Linked DNA regions of Saccharomyces cerevisiae S288C. Changing the gene in region 3 together with the main gene of any one other region gives a genetic interaction. Each region holds a gene or a part of one and is shown on either strand. Other genes may lie near its edges.

Region 1 (4,755 bases), on a different chromosome or scaffold from region 3:
AATAAGAAAAATAAGATCCATTTGCGGAACGCTGCCTAAGGCACTCGGTAAATCGTCACTTAGCTGATCATCGAGTAACGTAATTTTCCTTACAGGAGTTGATTGAGTCAAATCTTGGAAAGTTAGCAAACTATTGAGTACTGGCAATACACTTGGTTGAACCACAAGAACTTCATCATTTTGAGATATCTCATTTAAGGTAGCACATAGTCCATCGGCATTTGTTAATGAAAATTTCTTAGTATTCCAAAATCTATTCATCGTGAAATGATTTGATAAAGTTGGAGATGGGCAATATCAGCTTTTTCTTCCTTTCTCGAATTTTCTATCTTTTAACTAATTAACATATAACTAGTTCCAATTTGCTAACCTTTATGATATTTTATTTATGTATGTTCGTGTGAAGTGATTAATATATTATACAAAATGACCGGAGTTCAGTATAATTTCTATCTACTATTATTGAGCACACAAAGGAAAAGAATTGACTATGAACAAGCTTACGAAGATGAACCGCTTCTTAGAGCAAACTCTTCATAATAAGAGAGCATTTCTGGAGTAATGCCCCTAGCAATTCCTTTAAAAGCTTTCTCAAAATGACGTAATTCCACTTTTGCGACATCTAAATCTTCCATTATGGCAGCCAAGCCCGCTTCTTGACAAAGCAGCACAACTTCAGCTCCGGAATAACCTTCTGTACGGTCTGCCAATTCATGAAGATCGACTCCAGACTCTTCTGTATTAAATTTCTTTGTGCACTTCTTTAAGATTTCCAAGCGGGCGTTTACGTCTGGAGGGCCAACGTAAATGTGTCTATCTAACCTACCAGGCCTTAGAAGAGCAGCATCTATTTCATCAGGTCTATTCGTCGCCGCTACAATAACTACACCCTTTAACTCTTCAACACCATCAATCTCATTGAGTAAAGATGTGAGCACGTGATTAGCTGCAGAGGTGGAACTCCCGTCTCTATCAGGAGATAATGCATCGATTTCATCAAAGAAGATAATACTTGGAGCTGCAGAGCGTGCTTTGCGGAAAATTTCTCTTATAGCTCTTTCGGATTCCCCTACATACTTGTTAAAAATTTCAGGCCCTTTCACAGCTAAGAAGTTGATACCCGATTCTGTAGCGAGAGCTTTTGCGGTTAATGTCTTGGAGCAACCTGGCGGCCCGTAAAGTAATACACCTTTTGGTGCAGAAATTCCCAGCCTGGCAAAAGTCTCCGAAGCCTCCAAAGGCAACTGTATCATTTCTTTCATCTTTGTTTTAAGCTCTTCTTGGCCGCCAATGTCAGACCAATAAACTTTTGGCATTTCTAAGAAGATTTCTCTCATTGCGCTGGGTCTGATATCAACCATGGCGCTCTCCACATCTTTCAATGTAACTTTTAGGGAAAACTTGTCAATATTGGCGTCTGTTCCTAGTCCTCGTTGTATCGTCTTCATAACTGATTCTCTGCAGAGAGCAGTTAAATCAGCACCAACATAGCCATGCGTTTTAGAAGCAATGTACTTGATCGCTTCAGAATCTAATACGTGACGATCCGAGGACATTCTTGAGAATTGCTTAGTTAAAATGTCAAATCTGGCATCAACGTCTGGTATACCAATTTCTACTTCTTGGTCAAACCTGCCAGGTCTCCTGAGAGCAGGGTCGACAGAATTAGGCCTGTTTGTAGCAGCAATTACCACCACTTTACCTGCAGCGCCCATGCCATCCATTAGGGTAAGCAATGTAGCCACGACTCTGCTCTCAACTTCACCGGAGTCATCGTTTGCTCTATTTGGTGCTATTGAATCAATTTCGTCAATGAAAATAATGGAAGGCTGGTACTTCCTTGCTTCATTAAAAATATCTCTTAATGCCGCTTCCGTTTCACCAAGATATTTGGAGACGATTGAGGGGCCATTAATGGTTAGGACGTGTGCGTTGGACGTATTTGCTACAACTCTCAAAAGCATAGTTTTACCAGTACCTGGGGGTCCGTGAAGAAGTATACCTCGAGGGGGAGAAACACCAAAGCTACTAAATAGCGTCGGTTGATGAAGAGGTATTTCAATAGCACTTTTCAGTGATTCAATCTCCTTGTCTAAGCCGCCCACTGCTGCATAGGATAAGGGCTCCGGAAGATTGTATTTACGATTTGCCTGGGTTTCTTTCGAAAAAGTTATATGTGTGGAGCCTTTTCTGAATATAAAAGGTGGAGATAGATAAAACAGGTTATCTAATCCACCGTACATATCGTCCATGTTAAGATCTAGTTGGCTGACGTCGGGAAGCGAATCATCGCTCGCATCTGTAATTACGACATCAATGCTTTCATCACCTGCTTTTGTTTTTAAGTTTTGAAAAATCATTCCAGGCATTATAACGCCACTATCATCCAGTAGCTTTTGAATTACTTTTTCCTCCATACATTCCAAAATATTATATCCTTGTAAGGACCCCACGGTAACCTTAGTGGCATAAGGTGGTTGCACCTGGGCTTTCTTTAATTCTAGACGATCACCAAGGATAAGGTTCCCAACAGATCGTATAGTTGTGGAAAGGGTGATAACATTAACAGGATGTACTTCTTCATCACCCGCTCTAGCTATTACTAAAATACCATTTTCGCCTATCTTACCGACAGTACAAAATGATCCCGGATTTATCTCAAGCGAGGATAATACGTTAGGATGAATATATGCTGTGCATGTTTCCTTGCCATGATCTTTAGAAGGATGTGGTCTGGTAATAAATTCAGCAGGCAATTTAAATTTGGATGCTTTTGCATCAGCACTATTAGAACTTGCCGATGATTTCTTTTTGGAACCGGAAGAACTAGATTTAGGAGCCATTTTCCTTTCTATGATTGGGCAATTTTGAGAATGGGCAATGTTGAGAATTCAATTGTATATTGTTCGCATATTAGTTTATGTGATGAGGCAATATAAAATTTTCTTACAATAGTCCGCCCGTTGCTTACATGAAAGAAAAAAAAAATAAAGATGGATCGAAGTGGACTTAAAAACTATGTATACGTGTGTGTGTGTGTGTGCAATAAGAGTTCGAAAACATTAACTTTTATAAACATGACTCACATTGAGAATAAATGAGCTCTCTATAAATACAAACTTGCGGCGAAAACAATATCTCTCTTAATCAACTCTTGAGCCCTGCTCATCTTCATATGTAATGTGGAATTACCAATAATAATAGAGGCAGTCTTAACTTCGCGGCAAATTTCGTCTAGCCAAGTGATAACTCTGACTACAGTACCTTCAGCCTCGGGGCTCATTTCCATGATTTCTTTGAATGATAAACCACGGGCCCACTCATACACCACATTCATCATGGCAAACCTTTTTCTGTCCAAAAACTCAGCTTCATCCTGAGTTAATGGAATCTGATGCGTATTGAAAACACAAAGCATTTTCTTGTAAATTTCCTCAATTCTTTGTTTACCCTTTGCTAGCCTTGGTGTGACAATAGGAGGCTCCTCTTCCCTGGTTTTCCCCTCATAAACAAATACTGATAATAAGGCTACAATCTCTTCAGGTTCAAAGCTTCCTAAAAAGTTGTCTAAAATTAATTCAGTTAAAACTAACTCATAACCAGAATTAATTTCACATGCCACTCTACCTTTTAACAGCACGTTGTGGTTTTGGTCGATAAATTCAGTGTCTTTCAGAACAGCCAATCTCTTTTCATAATCGGGTAGTAAGCTCAGATTTTGGTCAGACATCAAATGGTACAATTCTTCAATTTTCTTTTTAATTACATGCGCCTTAAACTTGGGAACAATGTGTTGGCTTAGGTTGGGACATTTAATGCTTTTTAGTTTGAATATCTCATCCCTTATATTTGTACGGTCTAACAATATTTGGTGAATTTTTAAACCTTGCTTTTCAATGTTAATTGCTTCTTTTAGCGTTTTGCCGTCCAAAATGTTATTTGTTTCAGCGTTAAACTCGTTCAAAGCGGCAACATCCTTTTTAATCACTTTTCCCAAGGGTGCGGCAAACTTGCGTTTAGTGATCACTTCAATAGCCGTCACAGGAACTTCTTCCATATAAAAATCAGTCTTCTGGAATTTAGGGAAGTTCCTTCTTCTGTATCCATCCGCTTTTGGAAAGTATATTAAATGATTTGGCTCACCATTTGGGAGTTTGTATGGTTTTGTGAACGTCATAATGACACAAACAGCATCCTTCAGAGAAACTTTAAATACAAATCCTAATTTCAAGCAATCATTGGGGTCCCTAAAAGCAACGAGTCTGCCCTCTTTCAAGATATGCAATATCGAAGGCGATTTAACCATTTCTTGCATTAGGTTGACTGTTGCCTCCTTATATGCCAGCATCAATTCCAAAAACTTTTCGATATCATTATCACAGATTTCACAACTTTTGTACTCTATGGTTTGTAATTCCTCTTGTAATACTTTGATTTGTTTTTCATGTTCAGGTTGTAAAGTTTCTTTGGCATTCTCACTAAAAGAATACTTGATCATTTCTTCAACTCTCAACGCCTCAATTCTTAAAAGATTTAATATCATATTGTATGTTAATCTAAACTGAGACTGCAACCTCGTCGGAACACCCATCGTTACTTCTTTGAACGTAGCAATAGATAAAGGACTATTATATGCCATCACAATGACTGTACCAGTGGAATCCAAGCCCCTTCTACCAGCTCTACCAGCCATTTGGGTAAACTCACCTGGAGTCAGTTCTCTTAATCCATTACCATCATGTTTACGGATGCTGC
Region 2 (4,829 bases), on a different chromosome or scaffold from region 3:
TTATTCCTCAATTAGATGATGAAACGGATGCAGGTTATTTCGATGACTTCACAAATGAAGAAGATATGGCTAAATATGCAGATGTCTTCAAAAGACAGAACAAATTATCTGCAATGGTCGATGACTCTGCCGTTGATTCCAAGCTTGTTGGATTTACTTTTAGGCATAGAGATGGAAAACAAGGTTCAAGCGGGATACTTTACAATGGTTCAGAACATTCAGACCCTTTTTCAACTTTTTATTAAGATTACGTCCCTACAATTTAATTTTGTATAGCATAACAGATACATTGACAACAGCAACAAGATGTGCTAACATTTTCCATTTTGAATGATTACCAAAATTATGAAACCAAGGCAACATGTAATTTTTAAGTTTAGTAATCTTTTTCGGGATGAGATGTTTTGAAGAGTTTTATGCTATTAAAGTAGTAATATGATTTATATATTCAAATAAAATGTAAATTATGAAAGAAAAATACGATAAGCTGATAGGGTAAACTAGAAACCTTCGTTTTCTTCATCATCCACATCCAGTTTCTTTCTACCGCCCCCATTTCTTAAGGCAGCCATCTCATTAGTGGCAACTTGCTTTCTAACCTTCTTTGTCATCCTGGCTATCTCTTCTTCAGCGTCAACTGCATCTTCTTCTGCATATTGCATTACCAATCTGCGGCCCAGTAAATGGACACCGTGCAACTGATCCATAGCATTTTCTGCTTCCTTTGGAAGTAAAAATTCCACGAACGCAAAACCTCTTGCAGACTTGTCGAACTTCTTTGGAACTCTAACAGATTTTAATTGACCAAAAGAATTGAATAATTCGAAAACGTCTTTCCTAGTAGCTTCAAATGGAAGATTCTTAACAATGATTTTACCGCTTTTCTTATTGGATTTAGTCTTTGTATTACCGCTCTGAGATGCTTGTCTATGGGATAACTTCAATTGAATCTTATGGCCGTCGATTACCGTCCCATCCATTGCAGCTATCACGGCATTAGCTTGTTCCTTGGTCCTGAATTCTACAAAACCAAACCCCATTGACAAGGTCTTGCCTTGATGTTTTGGATCAGGTTTTGTCTTCACTTGGGCAACAACAAAACCAGTGAAAACCTTGAACCTATCAGTAAGATTTTGGTTCGTCGTGGAGAAGTTTAGATTCTTTATGAAAATTGAGACAGTTGGACCATCAATAACGTCTTCATCATGAGCATTAGATGACCCTTCAGTTACATCCTTGTTTGCTTCCATTAAGTCATTTGATGAAGGTTTTACCTCTACCGGGTTTTCTTCTTCTTTTGCAGAAGTGTTATTTATCAAATCATCGGCCTCAGCTGGTTTAGTAAAGCAATCCTTAGGCCCCCTTTCTAGATATATTATGCCGTCCTTAAATCTTTTATACGATAGTTTAGTGAAAGCTGCCCTTGCTGACGTTGTGTCCCTGAATTGCACTATAGCTATTGTACCAGCTGGTGGCATGAGCAATCTTTCCAATTTACCATATGGCAAAAACATTTCGCCAAGCTCTTCTCTAGTTGTCCCAAAAGGAAAATTTTTAACCAGTATCACTTTATCGTCTCTTTGATTTGTAGATTTTAACTGTGAAAACTTGGTCAGATCAACACCTTTGGATTCAAAGTATTTTCTAACATCACCAATAACATGGGCTTCAGCCAAAGCTTGTTTGACAGCCGAACTTGAGTTTTCAGCATCGATCAATTGAGATTTTTCTAGACCCAATTTGGCTGCCACACTACCCAAAACAGCATCTTGGTTCATATACAAGGAGTTCCAAGAAAATGTTTGTCTGGATGCAGCTGCCTTCCTTTTCAATTCCTTTTGCTTTTTCAATGGCATATTCTTTAAATCAAACTCATCTAATCTATGGCTTTTTTTTTCTTCACCAGGAAGAATATGCAATAGTCTTCCTTGAAAAATCTGTTTATCCAATTCAACATAGGCGTTCACTGCATTCTTAGAATCCTTAAATAGAACGTATGCAAATCCTTTGGATTGACCAGTCCTGGTATCCAAAGCCACATGAACCTCCTCTAACTCTCCAAATGGACTAAATAGTTTCCTGAAATCTTCTTCTTTGGAGGTATACAAGATATTACGTAAGAATAAACGGCCAGTTTGGTTAATTTTTTCAATAGCCAGTTCTTCGTCCGTCTTTTGCGGCACAGCACGTTCTGGTTGTTCTTCCTTCTTGGTATCGAGACTTTCATTTTGTTCAGTAGCGTATGATGATGATTTTTCCCTTGTTTCCGCTTCACTTTCTTTGATTCTTACACGGCGTTGTTTGAACCAATCTAGGTCAGAAACCTTTTCATCTTGGGCGAGGTTTCTCCTCTTTTCATTCTCTTTTTCATCACTATTAGCGTCATCATTAACTAAACCTATATCAGTATCCTTCAAATTGCTAATACTTATCATCTTTTCTTCCTCTCCGGCATCTTCTTGATCTTCATCCCTGTTTCTGTTGAGAGCCGAATATTCATCGTCACTTTCATTCTCAATGACCAAATTTGGTGCTTCGTCTTTATTATTCTCTTCCTTTAAGGCTAATGCATGAGCCAATAGAGAATTCCCTTGCACGCTGGAGTCCTCTTCTTCCCGTTTTAGTTTTTCGTCCTCTATGCTCTTGTCAATGCCAACTTTTTCCCATGATGTGACTTGTGAGCTTGGCTTCATAGTCTCCATGAACTCTTGTAATTGCTTGTTCTTGCGAATCTCGTCATCAATGTTGCTGTGCTTATTTTCATCCACTTTCTTTTTCTTTCGATTTTCTTCTTGTAGCAATTTTTCTTCCTTTTCCCTAAACCTTTTCAGAGCTTCTCTTCTCTTCTCCTTCATGGGCTGCGGGACTCTTGGGTCTGCAAAGCTTTTAGCCATGGACACTTCTATCTTAGAAGTGTTGATAAAACTGCCATTGAAATACTCTACAGCATCAAAAGCGTCTTCCTCGTTACGGTATCCGATAAATCCAAATCTTCTACTTTCTCCGTTCCTATCTCTAAGAATTTTAACATCTGTTATGAGGTCTGGACCACTACCATTAACTGCTTGATGGGAATGTTTTTGACGTAATCTTTTTGTAAAATGCTCCCTGAGATTATCATCTGTTAGATAGACGGGCAAACCCTTGACAATGATACGGGACATGTTAGTTATGTTATCTTGTGCTTGAGGCTCAAATTAAATCTCAGTTCAGGTTGCAGTCTTTGCATATGAAGTACCGATGAGATGAGATGAGATGAGCTCTAAATTTCCATAAAATTTTTTCATTTTATAAAATTCACGTCGCTCCGCACGTAAATCCCTATTACGGAAATTATTTCTCAATAGGGAAAGCCCCTCCTATTGTTTTTTCCGTCTCGAGGATTTTTCACTTTTAGTATATAAGTAAAACATAAAAAACATGAGAGGTGGTATGGTTTATTTGCCGTCACTGTGGAGCCTTCAAGTAATGTAAATAAGAGGGAAAGTGTGATAGTACAAGATGAGTTCGAATTCAACACCAGAAAAGGTTACTGCAGAACACGTTCTGTGGTATATTCCCAATAAGATCGGTTATGTTCGTGTTATCACCGCCGCCCTTTCTTTTTTCGTTATGAAGAATCATCCTACGGCCTTTACATGGTTGTATAGTACATCATGTCTACTGGATGCGCTAGACGGAACCATGGCAAGAAAGTACAATCAGGTTTCCAGTCTGGGTGCCGTTCTGGACATGGTTACCGACAGATCCAGTACCGCTGGCTTGATGTGTTTCCTTTGTGTGCAGTATCCCCAATGGTGCGTTTTCTTCCAATTAATGCTGGGCTTGGATATTACTAGTCACTACATGCATATGTATGCCAGTTTAAGTGCTGGTAAGACTTCTCATAAAAGTGTGGGCGAGGGTGAGTCCAGATTGTTACACCTGTACTACACGAGAAGAGACGTACTGTTCACTATCTGTGCGTTTAACGAACTATTTTATGCTGGATTGTACTTGCAGTTGTTCTCAAATTCTGCAACCTTTGGTAAATGGACTACAATCATAAGTTTCCCTGGTTACGTGTTCAAGCAGACCGCAAACGTTGTCCAGCTAAAAAGGGCAGCCTTGATTTTAGCAGACAACGATGCCAAGAATGCCAACGAGAAGAACAAGACTTACTGATAGGATGAGTTTCTTACTTTTTTTCTCCTTTTAATTGCGCTAATCTTTTATTTATGTGTAGTTTTTATTTATGTGAAATGGAACATTCGTTGATTTAACTTTAAAAGCAGCCTACTCTATCGTCTTGATTATACTTGGCACAACAAATGCTCAAATAAACGAAAAATTTCATATTGTTGGTACTTTTTCTCAACGCGGTTTTTTTCCTGTTTTTTTCGAGCAGTTCCCGAGGGCATATTTAACATAAGCCAAGGAGAGAGAAAAAACGTTTGTTGGACAGATCAAAAAGAAAAAGAAGAAGACCTCTCCTCTATCTCAAGCTTCTGCCCCCCCCCCCGGAAGGAATTCAAGCACGAAGGTGAACATTGCCTACAAGAAAAAATGGATGTTTTATTGTCGCTTCCTCAACCGGAATTATTTAAGACCACGGTGATTCCGTTCTTGGCAAATCGCAATATAATCAAGTCGGAAGCGATTCTCTCCAACTTGCACTCAATTTTTTATGTTGCTATATTCTACCATATTTGGTTTCTTTTTGGCAAATGGATCTTATTCCCACATTTGGTTAAATGGAAATTGGACTATGACCAAAAACATAACGTCAAGAAAGATGAGAAGACAACTTCGGAACGTCAAGCTCAACATTACAAAAAGAAGTACACTTC
Region 3 (3,426 bases):
CGTTAGTGGCATGAGGCATATCATCTTCGTCTTCATCAATAGAGTTTGAGTTAATCCAAGCGGTTGCATTCTCGAGTGTTGTTAATAATCTAGTGTCAACCAATTTCTCTGTAGTAGCTTCTATGACAGAGATATTAAGTGTGTAATCACTTGTGCCCCAACATGTTGAGTAGTGGATATACGTATTGGATTCGGTAGAATTTAGCCATGCAGCGCTCAAAAAATTCCACGTGAGGAATATTTCCCAAGGGATGAAAATTTTAAAGCTTCCATCTACGGTCAAGATAGAGTACCTCCAAGACATACGTGGAAACTAGTAGACATGTGTGATGATAGCTATGATGCTGTAGAAGAATACTATTTCAACAAAAGCGTAGCCGGGATTAGTGGCCAGGAGAACTGGAATAAGCAGTTAGCTACCCAAGTGTATTCAAGAAGTTTACAACCAGAAATATTACCAACCCTAAAACCTCTTTCATGTAACAAAGAGAGGGCCAATGCAGGAAAAAGAGTTTCAGAAGAAGAGCAGATAAATGGAAAACGTAAGAGAAAAGATTAGAAGTTTTGAAAGAGTTATTTGTAAAAAGAACAATTATTAGTTAAGAATAGTGGTCGCATTTAGTTTAGAGTAACTCTAGAGCGGTATTATATATGCTAGTTATAGACAAAAACGTAAAAGTGGGTGAATGTTAAAGTCCAGAACATCCCACTACGTCAATGAAGTAGGCTCGATGTTCATAGACATGTAACCAGTCTTCAACCAAACCGCTCATACCCTCTCGAAATCCATCCTTTAAAGTTAACCTGTTATTTTTACCACGGTATTCAATATCTTCCGCATTCTGAGGTAGACCAACTTTGTTAATAAACATCTCTAAACCAGCCGGATGATAGAATGGTGGAACCATAGGAATATAATCACCTGTATGCACAACCCTAAAATAGCCCTTACGAAATTGAATTTCATCTTTAAGAATTGACTCCTTTTCTATAGCATCTGTTTCAAATAACTCGTCTACCCATTGTTTCATTTCACTGTTAAATATCTTTGGTGTTGCGAATGTCAGCACTAACGGATCAAAGCCTCTTATCTTTAATTCAATCCCAGCCAAACTTGCTAATGCTGCCCCCAAGGAGTGCCCAGTGACAACGATCCTATATTCCGGAAAGCTTTCCAGAATCGACTCCATTTTTTTAAAGACGTCCATCCCGAGAGTTTCTGTGAACCTTAGAAATCCTCTATGCATTTTACAACCTTCACATTCTCTGATTTTTCCTTCCTCTATAAGCTTACGATATTCCTTAACGCAAAGGGGAGAATAGTTAACAGGATATATTTCAAAATCACTAAACCAATCTTGTCTTGTTGTGGATCCTCTAAATGCTAAAATAACAACCTTTTTTCCGTGGTCAACAGCCAGATAACCCGAGCCTAATTCACCTTTTTTTGCATTAAGAACTAATTCAACCACTGTTTGACCCGCTGTTGGGTTAATTATCTCATCATTGCAGAAGTTAATATGTGGTGGACAACCTCCGTCGTTGAAGGTTTTATTAACAAGAAGTAAGTTGTCAGATATGCAGCTTGATATAGAGCTTGCCTTAATAAAATATACTAGACGCTCATAGATATATGGAGTGATGGGCAGGTTGGACGAACAATGAACAACAGGCATGAGTACTACAAAAAGATATAGTATGAAAAGTCTGGCAGGCATCATTGTTATGGGTTTCTCAATCGAAGTTTTGGATAGTTCCTGGCTACAACTTTTTTTTTGGAGCTCAATCAAAATAATTCATCCAAGGAAACGAAGGTTGAGACAGAAAGAATATATGGCCCATTTTTGTTTGAATAAAAGGGCGATTTGAATGACGGAGTCTAAGTAATCTTGAAATTAAATAGTACTTCTTTTCTTGGTGTTCTGTGTTCTGCGCGGATCTGTTACGGCGCCAGATAAATGTCACAAAAACAAATTTTTCGGGAGGCACTCTTGCAAGCTTTAGCTAAACAGTTCTAGAAGTATATTAATCAACGTGGCTAGTGCCCATAGTCCGCACATAGAGATTCCGACTAACTTCATCTCCTTTGTGAGGCGCCGTTTAATATTGTTAGGCCCTCCGAAGAATAACAGCAAGAGAATAATCTGTAGGATAATGAAGACGCAAGAAACTATGAATTTGTAATTTAATGTATTATCCAATTGACTTGTTTCTTGTAATTTAACCTTTCTTAGGAACCACCATTCGTTATCATTAAAAGCGCCAATAAAAAGCATTGATACTAGCCCACTAAAGCCTATTCCACCCATAGAATTCAGCATTACGCCTCCTAAGCAAGATGCGCATGATATCATAAAAAATTTTGTGGCTAAACGAACTCTGTCTTGGTAGTGAGTTTGGGTTTTGTAGAGCCTGCACATAGATATGTTGGAGATCAAGTCTCCTACTGAGTTGCCCCATGCGAAAATGGTAAGGCCCAAAATAGCTTTCGATAATCCTAATATTTTTTGGTAAATTTCCATCATCTCAATAAGAGAATTGGCTAAAAGTGATATCCAAATTATGATATTTATTATGCCGATAGCTAGAAAAATTATTTGGATGCTTGTGTTAAGCCTTTCGAGGAGTTTTCTTTTTTGTAGCTTTTCCTGTAAAATGTTAGAGCTGTCTAATGACAGAGTAAACTTGTTATGCAGATTTACCTTTGTAATAAAAGCCGTCAATAGTAAAATTAAGGCCATAGCTAATATAAGAGGGAAAAGGTAAACGAGATAGCCTAGATGATATGTCAAAAGCACAGAAAGTATACTGCAAAGGAGGAAGGGTGCAGTAATTGATTGGATAAATAATAAAATTATGGGTAACGTTGTTAAAGAGTATCTGTTCAAAGTGGGATCATAACTCAAAATATCTGAAGGCGGTTGAGGACATGATAGTTTGAAAATAATGAAAAACGGAACAGTTATTATGGAAAAGATCGCATCTGAGATGGATTTCTGGGAAAAATTTGAGAGATGTGGTATGAAAATTTTTATAATCCAGCCCAGAGACCTTTTGGAGAACCTTCGCATTTCTTGCGCACCAAAATGACCATGCGTTGTTGTCTCCAATAATACTTGCTCTTGAGACTCTTCATCATCAGGGTTGTCACGGTAGGGGGCGAACACCGCTGGGGAACTATTTATTGCTCTTTCAGAATCTCTATATTCCGTAAACGCATTCGTTGGCTCACTGAAAGGTCTTCCAGCACTCGTTGCCTCTCCTGCAACTGTTGCAGAGGCGGACCAATGTTGTCCCGGCGTCATGCTACGTAGAGTGTTCAATTCTGCCATTTCATTCCTTGAGTCATCCTCCTCCAAAGATGAGTTTTCAAGCATTGATAAGAAACTATTGAAATCCATAGCAGATAGCAAACTAGGCTTAATG

What was found. A genetic interaction does not mean that the proteins touch.
Region 1: mutations in LIH1 (region 3) and AFG2 together harm fitness more than expected from each alone (negative genetic interaction), as found in Saccharomyces cerevisiae (one large-scale study listed by BioGRID).
Region 2: mutations in LIH1 (region 3) and MRD1 together harm fitness more than expected from each alone (negative genetic interaction), as found in Saccharomyces cerevisiae (one large-scale study listed by BioGRID).

The regions. Positions count from the first base shown.
Region 1 is NC_001144.5:912,050-916,804, forward strand, and holds AFG2 (AAA family ATPase AFG2), read right to left. Parts: upstream 2,844-4,755; coding exon 501-2,843; downstream 1-500. Other genes in the region: tethering complex ATP-binding subunit VPS33, read right to left, coding at 1-261; SKI complex RNA helicase subunit SKI2, read right to left, coding at 3,107-4,755. UniProt on the Saccharomyces cerevisiae protein: ATP-dependent chaperone which uses the energy provided by ATP hydrolysis to generate mechanical force to disassemble protein complexes.
Region 2 is NC_001148.4:748,756-753,584, forward strand, and holds MRD1 (RNA-binding ribosome biosynthesis protein MRD1), read right to left. Parts: upstream 3,165-4,829; coding exon 501-3,164; downstream 1-500. Other genes in the region: serine/threonine-protein kinase DBF20, read left to right, coding at 1-245; PIS1 (CDP-diacylglycerol--inositol 3-phosphatidyltransferase), read left to right, coding at 3,502-4,164; ALE2 (Ale2p), read left to right, coding at 4,546-4,829. UniProt on the Saccharomyces cerevisiae protein: Involved in pre-rRNA processing. Required for maintaining steady-state levels of 40S ribosomal subunit. Required for the initial processing of pre-rRNA at the A0 to A2 sites, leading to the processing of the 23S pre-rRNA intermediate to the 18S rRNA.
Region 3 is NC_001142.9:625,590-629,015, reverse strand, and holds LIH1 (putative lipase), read right to left. Parts: upstream 1,677-3,426; coding exon 690-1,676; downstream 1-689. Other genes in the region: ABM1 (Abm1p), read right to left, coding at 1-304; YJR107C-A (uncharacterized protein), read left to right, coding at 323-559; ECM27 (Ecm27p), read right to left, coding at 2,001-3,426. UniProt on the Saccharomyces cerevisiae protein: Lipases catalyze the hydrolysis of the ester bond of tri-, di- and monoglycerides of long-chain fatty acids into fatty acids and glycerol.